Neodiprion lecontei: one gene and its partner. The protein of the gene in region 1 binds, or shares a complex with, the protein of each later gene. Links are inferred from orthologs where the notes say so. Each region holds a gene or a part of one and is shown in the gene's direction. Other genes may lie near its edges. The genes, in order: probable medium-chain specific acyl-CoA dehydrogenase, mitochondrial; electron transfer flavoprotein subunit alpha, mitochondrial.

The links.
Region 2: the proteins of probable medium-chain specific acyl-CoA dehydrogenase, mitochondrial (region 1) and electron transfer flavoprotein subunit alpha, mitochondrial are in contact, whole or in part, in a crystal structure (PDB 2A1T), measured with the Homo sapiens proteins. The link is inferred for Neodiprion lecontei from reciprocal best matches to the Homo sapiens genes ACADM and ETFA. Residues at the interface, in NP_000007.1 of Homo sapiens: Pro163, Lys173, Pro211, Gln232, Arg235, Glu237, Val251, Glu253; in NP_000117.1 of Homo sapiens: Arg223, Lys226, Arg249, Asp253, Ala283, Ile284, Gln285, Glu304.

Annotation. Positions count from the first base shown.
Region 1 is NC_060261.1:7,228,680-7,236,541, reverse strand, and holds probable medium-chain specific acyl-CoA dehydrogenase, mitochondrial, read left to right. Parts: upstream 1-1,682; 5' UTR 1,683-1,826; coding exon 1,827-1,850; intron 1,851-1,880; exon of another isoform or gene 1,881-1,899; intron 1,900-1,988; coding exon 1,989-2,067; intron 2,068-2,252; coding exon 2,253-2,420; intron 2,421-3,483; coding exon of another isoform or gene 3,484-3,584; intron 3,585-4,021; coding exon 4,022-4,122; intron 4,123-4,485; coding exon of another isoform or gene 4,486-4,586; intron 4,587-5,068; coding exon 5,069-5,149; intron 5,150-5,543; coding exon 5,544-5,674; intron 5,675-5,955; coding exon 5,956-6,064; intron 6,065-6,138; coding exon 6,139-6,279; intron 6,280-6,359; coding exon 6,360-6,632; intron 6,633-6,821; coding exon 6,822-6,974; 3' UTR 6,975-7,188; downstream 7,189-7,862. Other genes in the region: syntaxin-6, read right to left, coding at 1-17, 854-888. UniProt on the Homo sapiens protein: Medium-chain specific acyl-CoA dehydrogenase is one of the acyl-CoA dehydrogenases that catalyze the first step of mitochondrial fatty acid beta-oxidation, an aerobic process breaking down fatty acids into acetyl-CoA and allowing the production of energy from fats.
Region 2 is NC_060266.1:26,573,052-26,580,979, forward strand, and holds electron transfer flavoprotein subunit alpha, mitochondrial, read left to right. Parts: upstream 1-1,656; 5' UTR 1,657-1,754; coding exon 1,755-1,796; intron 1,797-2,056; coding exon 2,057-2,389; intron 2,390-2,489; coding exon 2,490-2,942; intron 2,943-3,095; coding exon 3,096-3,272; 3' UTR 3,273-4,736; intron 4,737-6,429; coding exon of another isoform or gene 6,430-6,435; 3' UTR 6,436-7,241; downstream 7,242-7,928. Other genes in the region: 6-pyruvoyl tetrahydrobiopterin synthase, read right to left, coding at 546-823, 931-1,010, 1,092-1,159. UniProt on the Homo sapiens protein: Heterodimeric electron transfer flavoprotein that accepts electrons from several mitochondrial dehydrogenases, including acyl-CoA dehydrogenases, glutaryl-CoA and sarcosine dehydrogenase.

The DNA of each region.
Region 1 (7,862 bases):
GAGCCTTGCACACCTCGCTAAACGACAACTTTTTGTTTTACATCCTTACAAAATTTAACTACATAAAAATTATTTAAATTGTTCAACCAGATCGTAGCCATGTAACTTTCTGATTCTTCCATAAATTTGCTTCATTTGAAATTATTTATTTACATCGGTTACAACCCGTGTATCTATTAAGGAAACCAATTAAAATATTTTACTGTGTTTCGGTTCGAATTCGAATACGAAACATTGTTGACATTTATTCAATATATTTACAAAATTTTTCACAGTTGATACTCTTGATCTATTTCTCGTTTCAAATATTGTGAACATATGAATTTTCGATTAATATGTTTAATAATTAAGTGCAGGGTATAAGTTGTGGGATTGTAAATGACGATAATAGTAAGAATAATACGAATCTAAATTGTTGCAAATCCACAGAGTATACACTATACGACCTTATTCAATATTAACGAAGACAATTGATAATGATTATTCGTTTTTTGTCAAGAAGCAGCGCAGCTATTTTTTAACAACATTAGCGAAATATAATGCTAAGATACATTTTGAACACGAAGAAACGACAAAAATAATTTTTGTAATTTTACATATCGGTTTACGAAAATTTAAAACGTGTGCTGCAATTTATTCCGAGATATTTAAATAGATTCTCACACATGAAACGCGTGTATTGACAAACATAGTAAATGATGAATGACAATTTTGCCTGTTGTTTAGAAAAAAGTAAACCAGGTGATTTGACAGTATATCAGATGCAACAGCGTATTTGAGCTGAAGTGTGAATAAAAGAAGTATAGAAAACAAAGAAAATATTGATAACGTCAGCCCCATTTTGTGAACTTACTCCTTGACGACAAAGAAGGGGTCTTCCAGCGTCATTCCTTCCCCGAAATTAAAAGGGTGGCCCTTCTCGCCTCCCCGTGGCACCCGCAAAAATTTTTAAGCGTAATTTCTCAATCATCGGTAGTAAATAACAGACTGTAATCCGCACTGTTATATCAAACCGACAACAATAATCAAATTGACACTTGCTCGCACCCCACTCTACTCATCTGTCGTGTATTATGACGTCTGCCACTGCAGACGACTATTTATTCGATTTTGACGTTTACCCCTTACAAAGATCTTCTAGATGGCAGTGTACGATCGATGCTCGACCCAGCTCAAGCCACAAGCCGCGAGTTTCGATTGGCCGAAACGCGAGTTCTCAAATATACCGCGTGTTTGTAAGCTCTACAAATCGACGTAGCTAAGGGTGCGTTCTGAAATCAGCTGCCAGCTCTAAAAACTCCCCGATGCGTTAAACGGACAATTGGATAGACAGCTTAGACTTTCATGCATCAGATATAAAAGTTATTTTGACATGTTTCCGTAGAAATTACTTCATTTTTACTTGTATTTCACTACATCTCATTCACTTATTCCAAGGCACTTATTGCTCCGCATTAAGTACAAGCATTCTACTTTTAAAAGGCGCGCTTTTCACCGCTTAGCGGTATATTGGATGCTCTTGCCAAATGTGATACTTGGTTATCAACTGCGTTGCCATCTAGTGCTAAATCCGGCCAAGTTCAAATGAATTAACCAATGACAGCCTTGATACAAGAGATTGCTCCAATCCAATTCTGGTTATACTGGGTTATACCAGTTTACATACGTATTTAGCTCCAGATGGAAAACTGGTCATTGTAGGCCATCACCGTTGTCCGCTGATTGTATTTATCTCTGGGTTAAAGTCCATTCGAGTTTCAAAACTTTTGAACTGTTGTAGCTGGACTCTCACCTCAATCGTTTCTCCAACGTCGATCGACTCGTTTATGTTCAGGATGTCTTTGAGCCAGGTATAATTTCCCCGTCGAACGTTGTGTGCTTTCACTAATATTCAAGACTGTACGCACGGTTTAAAATATTAGTAGGGATAATTGCATCGTCATCAGATATTCCAAACTATTTTCCTTCATTTGTTCGTCTAATTGCAGGTGATTAGTAGGTCAGTGAGACAAGCAGCAGTCAGGTCTTTTTCTTCTCAAGCTGCAGTACCAAATGGCTACAATTTCCGTTAGTATTAAATTTTGACATTAATTACATTATATTTTAACAGTTTAGTATCATGAGTAATCCAATGGGAAAAATGTCAAGCTGCATATGCTTTACTTTCTACGAAGAAAATAAAACTGTTCTGATTACTTAAACTCTGAGTACAGAATTAGTGCCGAAGCAATGTTGTTATATTTTTTGTTCAGAGCTTTCTGAGACGCAGCGAGAAATGCAGGAACTTGCCAGGAAGTTCACAAGAGAAGAAATAATTCCTGTAGCTGCGGAGCACGATAGAACTGGAAAATTCCCATGGGAAATTGTCAAGAAAGCCTGGGGTCTGGGACTCATGAACGGACACATTCCACAGCATTGCGGTATGTTCAAAATATCCTTGGCTAAGAATTTTCTTCCGATGATATGATATTTCGTGTATTTGAAGCTGGGGGCATCCAAATGAATGACAATTGAAGCAACATATACCACACAAGTTTTTTCAACCAATTTCTCTACAAATTTGATAACAAATCTATCGATTCGTATCGATTCTGACAAATACTGTTTGTACACAGTTCAAAGTTTTTCCAATATATCTGGCATAGTATAATCCCATTATTATTTCCATTCAGATAAACGTTCAGCGTTTCAACCATTTAATATATTGAATCTTGAACCTTTTGAACAACTGCTAATTCCAAATTGAAATAATTAGGATGGTAAGTTTGTTTTGAACTTTAACCCATAGTGATGTGCGATTATTTTATATCTCTGATAATCAAACGTGCCCCAATCTGTTTTGCAGTAATATTTATCTAATCAGAATAGTGGTACATGATCGCTCTGCAAGATATCTGTTAATCAATGATTTGTCATGCTAAAACAATAATATTTGAACAATAACAAGGTCAAGATATTTGAACCATATGTTTGATAATGTATCAGAAGATTAAGTATATTTTGATGTTGGTTTACCATGGATGGTTGAAAATTTTATTTTAAATGTGAGAATTCACACACTTGTTCAAGATCAGATACAAGTTTTTTTGTATGTGGTATAACGAAAGTTAAATTTCTTTTCGAATTCTAAAACTTGTGTTCGTTTAAATATCTGCATTCCTTTTTTTTTTTTTGCAAAATATTCATCCAGACTACAATTAAACGGCATTTCTCAACATCAATTCCTGTGCTGTATCCTAACATATGCCAAAATACCGCAATGAATCGTTTTTACAACTATACGAAATTGTCCATTATATAATAATAATTGCTGATAGTTTACCACAGTCAAATAAAACAGAAGATCAAAAGAAGTATCTACTTCATACTCAATTTTTAATTGGGAATGAGGAATCAACATGGAATCGTACAATTATACAACCAATTTGCTCTCTCTCAAAGCCAAATTAATACGGTCACTTTCAATTACAATTGAATCTTCAGGAGGAATGGGAATAGGTATTTTTGAGACGTGTCTGGTTGGTGAGGAATTCACATACGGATGTTCCGGTATAGCTGGTGGTCTTGGATCCACAGACTTAGGAGTAAGTTCCTGCCGGAGATGAAAAAGAATTCTTAAAAATTTGATCCAAGCTTATGGAGCAGTCAGCTCGTTTCATCCAGGCTCGTTAGTTCATCCTCTTTCAGCTTTTTGTGGATTTCCGATTGTTACCAAATTATATAAGTTGACATAGTTATTTTCTACAAAGTGTTAATTAATACTCACGACAGTTCTGCAGGCTTTCCGTGACGTTCAGTCCATCACATTATCATGGCGACTATACTTTTATGTCCTCAGTCATTTTATTATTACGCACTATTACTGAATGAATCTTATGTTTCAATGTTATGAATTCTTATGTTAACAAAACAAACAGAATACTATCGATAGGAAATTATGAGCATAGTACTTGTTGCTCATTGCATAGCAATAGATGGAACAATGTTGTAACATTGTATACAGTACTAATTTGACATTCAGGTGGTATTGGAATGAATACGTTTGATTCTTGTATGATTGGAGAGGAACTTGCATACGGATGCTCTGGTATTGCTAGTGGCATTGGATCCACAAAATTAGGAGTAAGTGGCATTTGTGAATGTAACATTCCATCGCAATTCATTGTTCTTGAGCTGATATATGGATTCATGCCGAAGGGAGTTGGACGTCATTCATCGTATCATTAATATCAGTGTTGATTTCTTGGTGGGTTATCTTACTTAGTAATTACGTATTGTTCTACTTTACATTTGGAGGCTTGTATGGGAGCATCGAAGCGATATCAAATATTTTATGAATTACTTATTGACATGTGGGTCCAATAGATATATTAGGGAAAAAACATTACCCAATAACGAGAAGTTTCGAGATTGAAACGAAAATCGTGCGATATGCCAAAATAGCCATGACATGTGATACATTAAATGGCTTTTGGTACATTCCAGGAGGATTAGAATGTGGTATTTTTGACGGTTGCATGGTGGCGGAAGAGCTTGCCTATGGCTGTACAGGGATAAAGACTGCAATGGAGGGATCAGGTCTCGGCGTAAGTTCATTCTGCTCGCGATCGAAAACTAATTTTTTTGTCTGTTGACTAACTTATGAATTAATTCTAAACATTAACATCCTTTCACCACGATCAACAATACTCTCATACTGGTTTCCACAGTAAATTACAGTGCAGTCTTGAATGAGCAAATTTATATTTTTTAAACTTTATTGCCAAAATTTCACTCTATAGTATTTTCATCTTCTAATTTTAATAGTTTTTGCATATGAGGATCCGAAGTAGGGAAAGAAAATAAATGCTCTCTGTCTCTTCTGTTTTGTGTAAGAAATTGCTGCAGCTTAATTGAGAATGTCTATGCACCATCTATTATGTCCTTAAATCTGGTAATGAGGTTCATCTGTATATCAGTTTACTGAAGCACAACCTTTGCTTAGTCACATTAAAATTATTGCGCTTGTTGTTGCTGTTTTAAAGTACATTCCGTATTTCCTAAATATGTGTTAAAATTGATTTCATAGCAAATGCCTGTGATTATTGCTGGAACTAAAGAACAACAAAAGAAATACTTGGGAAGACTCATTGACGAACCACTTCTAGCGGTAAGTTACCCTTCTATTCAAGAACCAGAGTGTGTCATTCTTCTATGCATAGTATATACTAATTTACTAGTGTTTTAATACTCAACATAAGAAACTCATTAATGAAAAATGTTTTCATCTCTTAATTCGGTTGTTTTTTCAATCACATCACAATTTGAATACCAAGGTTCGTGCTACACATTTCATACAGAGTGGATCAAAGGTACTGAGACTTGTGAATAACCTTTGAACGCGTGTAGATATCGCGAGAAATTTGCTGGAAATCTGTGTGATTGAAGAATTTACTTTTTGTAAGGGTCGGCAATTGCCATATTCCACGAGTTCCAAGATATAACTTGAACTCTTCAGGCTATGATAGTAAGTGAATAAATTGATAATGATTCGTTCATGGCAGGCCTACTGTGTAACCGAACCTGGGGCTGGATCTGACGTAAGCGCCATTAAAACTCGAGCAGAGAAAAAAGGAAATGAATGGGTTATCAATGGCACTAAAATGTGGATAACAAATGGCGGTGTTGCCAATTGGTAATATTGAGGGTAGAAATTTACTCCTTAAATTTAACTACGTGTATTTACAATCTAGCAAGTACAATTTTAAGCACTTTGAAATTCAGTTCAGCCTAAAATAATTGAATGAATAGATTAATAGAATGAATTGTGACAAAAGGAATGGTGGTAAGAGAGTTGATATTCCTGAAAATCCATGACTTTGTTTATAACGGCATTTTTGATTTAATGTGAAGTTTATTACTAATAATACAAAATTAAAAGAACTCTAATCCTATTCAATTTTTCCATTTTCATAGGTACTTTGTTCTGGCTCGCACTAATCCAGACCCTAAAGCACCGACTAGTAAGGCATTTACTGGTTTCATCGTCGAGCGGGATACACCGGGTCTAACTCCTGGACGTAAAGTAAGTTTAATGATCGGATGACTTACTTGTTACCCCACGGTTAGAAAAGTAACTTTCAGGGATAAAACTTTCAGGAAATGAATATGGGGCAAAGAGCATCTGATACCCGCATGATCACATTTGAAGATGTACGTGTCCCACAGGAGAATGTCTTGCTCGGTGAGGGTCAAGGTTTCAAGATTGCAATGGGAGCTTTTGACAAAACTCGTCCTCCGGTAACTGTTTATTTTTTTTCCTTCAATAGAATTCTGTCGTGGAATTTCATATTCTTTGAAAACTATTTCATCGTTGCAAGGTTGCGTCTGGTGCAGTTGGACTGGCGCAAAGAGCACTGGACGAAGCTACCAAGTATGCTCTGGAACGAAAAACTTTCGGCAAACCCATTGCCGAACATCAGGCAGTAGCTTTCCTGTTGGCTGATATGGCGATTGGAATCGAAACAGCTCGGCTAGCTTGGATGAAAGCTGCTTGGGCTGTCGATAACGGCCAAAGGAACACCTTTCTAGCCAGTATTGCTAAATGTTATGCCGCAGACGTGGCTAATAAGTGCGCCACAGATGCAGTACAGGTTTGTCACAAGTCCAGAATTGCAATTGTATATTCGATAAGCATTGCGTAAAAAGTTTTTATTCATATCCATAAGTACAAAATGGCAAGTTGAACGTAGAATTCAGTTTTTTACGTTTGATTTGAAACTACTTAGTGTTTAATCACCAATAGGTATAATCACCAAGTATCAACGTGTGATTCTTTACAGATATTTGGCGGCTGTGGTTTCAACACTGAATACCCTGTAGAGAAACTAATGAGAGACGCTAAGATTTATCAAATATACGAAGGTACAGCTCAAATTCAAAGAATGATTATATCACGTGCTTTATTGTCAGAGGCTCAACAAGGTGGTAAATGATCAAATCATATCAATCACATGTACAAATCATAATAATATCTCATTGCACCAAGAATGCTGAGATAATTCTCAATGCATCATTGTTTCCACCAATACAATTGTACATACAAAATTTCTTACAGAATTCATAATGCTAATGAAATAGCGTGTGTCTTAAATATGGGCGTTTAGTGAAATAAGGCTCACAAAAAATATATATTTTTTATTCTCTTTACTTGACTGAAGTTTACTTCTGAAGCGTAAATTATTCTCTACCTGTTTCCTAATCCATTTCAAATTGTAAATATATTCTCTCCTTATCTTTATCACTTTTCATTCATCCGTGTCGTAGACTGTATAATATACAATATTTAGGAGACATTAGATTTGACAACTTTAGCATCATCTATACGTATTTGTAAAATAATTTGCTTATTCCCGTAAAATTCTTCGTGATCCTGGAATTTGCATTTTGTATTTTATAGTCCATTTCTCCAAGGTTTCGCGGGGTGAATGATGAGTCATATCTCTAATGTTCATATGGGATTACAGTGGAGAGTTGTTTTCGAAAAATACCTCGAAATTTATTCCGGACATTTTATTTTTTGCTTCATATGAAATTATTAATGTGAACGCAGTTGAAAATGTTCATAGAATTCATTGAATACCCTGGAACGCCAGCAACGGTTACGTTTTAAACATATACGCGACAAGACGAGAAAGAAACAGAGCAAAACAAGGTGAAAAACGAAATCATTCGAACGACGCGCGTATGTTTGTAATGTACGTGTGCGAATGTGTATTCAGCCCGGCGAGATTAGAAAGTGAGACGAGCGAAAACGAAAGTAATCTGTTTAGAATATCCGCGCGACGTCGCGTCGCACGTTAGTCAAGTTGATTTTCGCGGTC
Region 2 (7,928 bases), on another chromosome or scaffold:
ATTGAAACTTATTTTTGGGCGAAGCCCCCCGCCCAAAACAAAAAAACAAATTATAGAACTATTATAAATTTATTAAATTAAGAAAAATCTGATTTATTTATTATTTTCAATTATTATTAATATTTATCGTAACGTGACAATTTACAAAACGAAACGGTATATTTTAACGAACGTCAAAGTATCGCTCGCACGTGTCAATGCTAAGAGAGTGCCGCAGAGATGGCGCGCGCGTATATACCTTGGAATCGCTCGTATACTCTTATACATTCCCGCACGCTCAGCTACATCCCCGTTCGCTCAGTTGCATTCCCGCACGCTCTTGTCAACGTGTGGGAAAGCGGTACTTTGCGAACGCAAATGCATGCGCAAAATCGAACTTTGCGCAAGATAATAGGAAAAATTTCTTAATATCATTGATTAAGTAATAACGTACTTAAATTGTTGATCTGTGATTACTGTCATGTTCTCGAAAATATATTATTTCATATGCACATAGGCATATGCGCCCCTTTATAAAACGAACTCTTATCGATTGGCTCCAATAATTATTCGCCTCTATAAATTACAATATTTTTATCAGTTTCATATATTTTTACCTCGTACAATAAATCAGGTTTGGGCATTTCTTTCTTCAATTCATCGAAGACAAAAATAGCTACATTCTCTGTTGTCGAAACAACGTGCTTGAAATATGGCACATCTTTATCCAAATTTTTATGATCTAATTTATCCATCAACACATTTTTCATGTAAATTTTCAAATCGGAAATATTCATTACCATTCCAGTTTTTTCATCCACAGGACCTCGCACTGTGACCTCCACTGAAAAAAGAAAAAAAACATGAGTTGTGTATCGAAATTTTTTAATTACGCATTGAACAACTATAGTAATAATTATAGTACTTCAAGTAGATGCGTATGTTTTTTACCGGTGTAATTGTGTCCGTGCCCCCAAAAATTGTTACACTTTCCGTAAACTGCTGCATTCTGCTCGTCGGTCAAGTGTGGGCTTAAAAAATTTCCACGTTATTAATTAGTGGCATGCGTGCTTAATTATTGCGTCATCATTCATTTTTATATTATCGAATACCTATGAAGGCGATGGCAAGCAGATATTGTTTCTTTCCTGGTCAAATACACAACCGGCACTTGCGTCATGTCCTATTTATTTTAGATCGATATTATTACTTATTGTCGCACGTGACAACACGTTAAAGATGCTGAAGATTTGTAAGGAAAGTTCAAGGTGGCCTATGGCTGATTGAAAAAATGATCTGCGTATGTACAGTAGGTACATATGCTTATACACGTACGTGATTTACTTTTTATTATTTCGCTGGCATTCCCGACGTCGCAATATCCTGCAGTTGATTGATCTTGCTAAATCTGATTTCACAGTAATTACAACAGCGTTCGAATATTACATTAATATATGCTAGAATTGGGTAACTAAGTAGATACAGCTGGCGATTCACAGCTAGTTTTATTCACCGACTCTTTGCCGCCATGATGGAAAAAGTAGAGCTAGAGACCTCTGGCCGAAGCCCGTCGGTAAGCCGTAAGAATATCGTCATCACGTACGTATGTACCATATATCGGTCTATGTACATACATAAAACAAACTTTGGACTTGCCTATCAACTTTGCCACCGTGCTCCACTTCTTGCAACGCACAACAGTCGAGTGAGAAGTATTGCAAACTGAGACATATTTGGCAAACCTTATTTTCGTCAACCGTTGGAATAATTTCAAAATGTTTGTCAACTGTTCCCGTACGATCAGACACAAAACTCAGGTGAGCCAAACTTCAATGAAAATTGATAATTGATCAGTGCACAATTTCAAGTAGGTTGTATTAAATTTTTAGCTTCCTCTATCTTTACTACAATACTTATATAACAATTTTCTATTATGTTAATTTGATTGCCTCATCACGAGATTGATGTAATAAGCGAACCGTATCTCTTTACTCAATTACCTGATATGTTAAAATAATGTTTGGTTGTTTGAGCATCTAGGAGTTGGCCAAGTTTTATGTGAATTATCATCTTCCAGCTGAACAGTTTTTTGCAAAGATATCAATCGACTTTGGTAATTGCTGAGCATAATAACGAGGCTCTGTCGACGATAACCCAAAATGCATTAACCGCAGCCAGGCAAATCGGTGGGGATATCACTGTCTTGGTTGCTGGCACAAAGTGCGGGCCAGTAGCGGAGGCTGTATCCAAAGCTAACGGCGTAGCTAAGGTTTTGGTTGCCGAGAACGACGCCTTCAAGGGATTCGTCCCTGAAGCCATAACACCGCTGATATTAGCTACCCAAAAACAGTTCAACTTCAGCCACATTCTCGCAGGTGCCACAGCATTTGGAAAGGCTTTGCTGCCAAGAGTGGGTAGACAAATAATGAATAATTGCAGATACGAACAATATCCAGTCAGGGTGTTCGATAACTGAAGTTTAATATAAATAAAGATAATATAAATTTTAGGTAGCCGCCAAACTAGATGTTTCCCCGGTGAGTGATATAATCGGTGTTAAATCACCAGACACGTTTGTGAGAACAATATATGCGGGCAATGCTATACAAACTGTGAAAGCTAAGGACAGCGTAAAAGTTGTTTCTATTCGAGGGACTTCTTTCGAGGCAGCGCCTCTAGAAGGAGGGAGCGCCAAGCTAGAGCCAGCACCAGCGGGTGATTATAAGTCTAATTCGGTCGAGTTTGTAAAGCAAGAACTGACAAAGTCCGACAGACCAGCGCTCGCTTCTGCCAAAATTGTCATCTCTGGTGGGCGTGGGTTAAAATCCGGGGAAAACTTCCAGCTTCTGTACACGCTTGCCGATAAAATGAACGCAGCCGTTGGTGCTTCTCGTGCCGCAGTTGATGCTGGATTTGTACCGAATGACTTGCAAGTTGGACAGACTGGGAAAATTGTAGCGCCGGTGAGCTTACACAGATGTTCTGTTGAGATAATATTCCAATTTGAAAAAATTATACTCCATCCCAGATTGCTGAGCGATAGATAATTTTTGATTTAGTATGAAATCGATAAGACTTGGGAGGCGTCAAATCTATGAAAACGGTTTTACTTGCAGGACCTCTATGTCGCCGTGGGTATCTCCGGAGCGATTCAGCATCTTGCTGGAATGAAAGATTCAAAAACAATCGTAGCGATAAATAAAGATCCGGAAGCTCCTATTTTCCAAGTCGCTGATTACGGCTTGGTAGCAGATTTGTTCAAAGTGGTACCAGAGCTTACCGAGAAGGTGTAAATTACGCAGATACTAACGGCGTTGTTTCAAAAAAGGAAATCAAAATATCTTCCATAGGATTCGGTCATTAAACAAAGTTATCTAAGTCTTGTATATTTCAAAAAGCTACCAAGTTTCCGTGTGAGTACTATTTTGACAAGCGCTGTCTCTTATAGTAATTCCTATAATATTATTACATATCGTATCAAATAATATTTACACATTGATATGATTATCGCATGTTTTCTCGTGAGAAACGATGACTGGTAATTCGAGAAATAGTTGTGAGAACTCGAGCTCCTTTTGCAAATGCGTATCTTAACAAAATGGAAGATTACTTTATCATATAATAATGTAAATCATTCTTATACATACTTTTCGCTACAAAGTTGTGATTGAATGCGTTTATATAGTATGTCCAAATGTACAAAGATTATTCTCAACTTTTATACTTGAAGCTAAGAATTTGTTAAATGCTATAAAATAACTGACGAAAAAAATCTAGGTATATTATTTCAATAAATCTTTATCCGTCATGCAATTTCTATGGCATTGTTAGAAACTACGTAGAACTTTTACGAACGTAGAATTTCATCAGTGACAGGCAATGACCGGTTTGATATTTATTTCCATAAGCTTGGACACTTAGAACCACACGGTATATGCAAGCACAACGAATAGAATAGACGTCGAGGAGATTGTAGGTAGGAGGTAGAAGTCGGTAGGCAGAGGAAAGCAAAACAACGCGGGAGAAAAATTCTGCATGCGGATTGCGAAGGTCGTCTTTGTTAAAGTACGTTGCACTTATGCCGCATCATTGTCGTAGTTCCCCGTATATCGTATATGCACAGGCATACGTGTATTCCGCTCAAGCGCGTGCGCAAGGGGAGGAAGAATAAAATGTAAAACGAAATTGCGAAAAGAGCTTGCAATATGTTCGTAAGTTATCATTTTCTACCCAGTAGTCGAATCAAATGAAACTTGATCAACAAACGCGATCGGAACAATGTGCGTATTTACAAATTGGCAAGTCAAACCTCTAAAGTTCTCAGTTTGCAATACTACAAATTTTTCAACCTCTGTTACTACTCTTTAAAACTCTGTAGTAATAAATAAATGAACAAGCAAACCGTCCGGAGAGAAGTTGGAGAAGGTTAAACACGAGGCAGAAATCTCTTGTCAATGCCGTCCAGTTTGCAGATTTGCCAATGCTCTCACGCATTTCAATGCACATATATGTACCACACGCGCACAGTCTTGCGCTTTGTACGTGTTGCGCACAATGACGAACAAATTTAAGGTGGTGACTCGTGGATAACGTTAGGTAGTCGTGTTTAAATGAAAGGGAAAGCGCAGTTTGTGAATCGAGTCTCAGAACGAAGTTGAAGCCCGGTGCTCCTGCAACTGGCACCTGCGCAGTTCTACGACGCAGGTCGCAGTTCTAGTCCCGGGTGATTGAAAGTCGGCTGACTTATTCGATTTATGGTAGGTACACGTGGTTTATCCGTTTCTTCTATTTCTATTTCTATTCTTCCTCTCAGTCTTCACTCATCTCCACCTTCGACCTAACGTCTTCACCCCATTGTCAAATGTCATATCCACATGCGTGGTTGAAAATATTGCGATTAATTATAAAAAAAAAACATTTTAGTGTGAACTATGATTCTACGTGTAGGTAGACGAAAATTTTCGATCAAGTCATAGAAACAGATTTGCTTCTTGGGGTTAGGTGCGTGCTTTGACCCGCTCTCGAGTGTCGAAGTTTTGAATAATCGCAGCTTTTCTTCAGTCATCCTTGAATGCAACTAATGTTTGTTTTAGAACGCTTTACTGCAATCTGGGTAATTCAGCCGGGGAAATTTTCTAAATCTTCGCTTTTGTTTCACTCACCGCTGCGTAGATCGCTTGTGCCAAACAGGTTTTTATTCCCCAAGGTCGTGCGGCTTCCTATCTTCCTCGCGTGTTTTTCACTGTATTGTTATTTTTGCCGAGTTGATGGCGCGGATGTATCTCGGGCCGATTACATCAGTTTAAATGTTGACGAAACGCCGGACCTAATACTGATTCAGGTTTGGAGGTCATCCGTAATCATTTTTTAAACACAAAAGTCTCTCGCAACTTTGTGCTCATCTCACAAATTCATACCACAGCCGTCACTTCAGTCGTGAAAAAGTTTAGCAGTTTCGGATAACCTGCACGATTGTAATTCATCGCTATTGAAAGTAAGTCAGTGAAGTTGGTGGCCTTGTACTCTCAACGTGATGTAATTTCAAAGTGTGTCAGTTTGACTCGGCGTTGATGCTGCAGTTTGAAATTGAGTTTGAAATCGTCCCTCGCCTCGTGTCATTATTCGATAACCGTAAATTCCGATTCGCTTTGTTCGTATATACGTACATAACTCTCTTGACTGTCTCTCGACAATGCATGCGGCCAAGTTAACGAGATTGCGGCAAAGAAAGTGAAATTTTTCCAACGTTTGCGCAATCGACCCGTAATAGGTCTATTATTTAACTTGGGATTGTTGTAAAGTTGATCAAATACAGTGCTCTACCTGATTGTCAGCTTACTCATCTCTCCGTCGTACAGGTATCCCGTCGAAAATAACAGCATTACTCTATACTTGCGAGAGGCCCAAACAATTCGAGCCAGTTCATGTCAAGCGTAACAGGTGCAATAACATCTACTTTGCATTGTCGAGTGTGTGTCTTACCCCGGTAAAATTGACGTCACGTTATTAATTGCAACACAAGTTGTGAAATTTGCATAACGCGGAAGCTGGAATATCTTTCATTTAGCTTGTGATTCTTGCCAGAAATTATTTGAAACACCGAAGCGACTTCCATTGCGTCTTTTATACTCTTCTATTCGTTCTCGTACATTGCATATGCCGTAAAAAAGTGAAAACAACTCCGAATATTGTAGGTGCCTGTGTGTGTCTGTGGTATTTCAAGTGAGTTGTTCTTCCGATGCTTCATAATTTTAGGAAATTTGTAAGGTATGACGAACCAGCTGCACCTCCCATTATTTCCACTCACATTTTAGTCAAGTTTCATATTCTCGTGTAGGTAGACGAGAAAAATGCGATAGCTCACTTGAAAATTACGACAACAATTTAAAGTAATTATTATGTTGTTACTGCAGATTCAAAATGATTAAAATTTGTTGTAAATTGTTTCAGAATTGATTAAAATTGGATAGGAGAATATTTCAGTGGACAATGAACCGGAGGAACTTGTATAAACAGTAAAATACATAGAAATGGCTGTGAAAATTTAGACGTCGTCGCCCAGTTGAACGGAGACGTCAGAGCATCATATCGCATTTAATGACACCGAGCAACAGGGGCGGGGGGAGGGGAGGGAGTCCTTTAAACGTCAACGGCGAAGATTAGTGGTAGGAATTAAGAGTGGTAGGATAAATAAGGATCAAAATAAGCAGCGAAACAGTACATATCTACGACAATCAAAATGCTCGAGCCAGTGATAGGAATATCTCCAATTTGGTGGCTACTAGCTTACGCTAGCGTCTTGTTATTACTATCACCTTTGGTTTTACTTGTAGTATTGTTTTTGCCAAATTTACCGATTCTTGTGCTGAGAAGAATGTGTTACATACCAGTGGAGCCGATATAACCATTTCACTGAAGCTATAAGCGATCCCGAATGGAAACAAGCCTTCAGTGTAGGTATCTACCGGATTCCTAGATACACATACTGAGTTTTTCAATAGATTGACGAAATCTGCAGTAAACTCTGCTCTCTGCAGTCCCTGGACATTGAAGAAAGTGGTGTTAACTCGATCTGCATTCAAGATAGAATCGTACGCGATAATCCATGTAATACAAGATAGGTTTGATATTACTGCACTTAATATTAAACGTTTGTACACAGATTATGTAAATATTCGTGTAAGATATTGCTAACTCCAGTTAAAGAAAAAAAAACGAAGAAAATATATTTGTGTAAAATAAATCATTTATTGAAGATCAAACGAGCAACAATACTACCTGTTTCATCTTTGGAAGGGGTCGATCTTTTTTTGAGTATATCTCAGGAAACGATTACGATTGATTCACGACGACCTCGGAAGTGATTTAAAACGGGTTTGTAAATGCATTTTTTTCGGATCTTTCGAGTATGCGTCATATCCTGGTATGCACGATGCGTGACATACATCAATATATCTATACCCATAAATTGTATACTTCTGTATGCGGATTTTCAATATCTATTCTCGCTTTGTCACTTCGCATTTACGGTCAATTCTTTCAATGCGTTATAACCGGCCGAACCGGATCGCCAAGAGTCGTAAAATTATTTTTCACGTATCATCGCGTGGCCGTAACTCGGAGACAGTGAACCACGCTCGCATACACCACAGGCCGTGATGGCCAAGCTAACCTCATCGTCCGCTACCAAATGGAATATCAACTAGCCTGATATTATTAGAGCAGAATTTTAAGAGCCATTTAGAGATTCAGAATCTCCGAATCGGTATTTGTGAAATTTTTCGAATGTCTCGATTTCTTATGCACGAAACAAGCCGTCGGAAATATATTAATAATATGATGATTGATAACAGGTGAGAATAGGTAATTTACGGGACCACTGCTATGTAGTTTTAGCCTTCAGCCGTATTAAAATTCAATTATTCAAGGTGACCGCTGTCTCTTCCGTG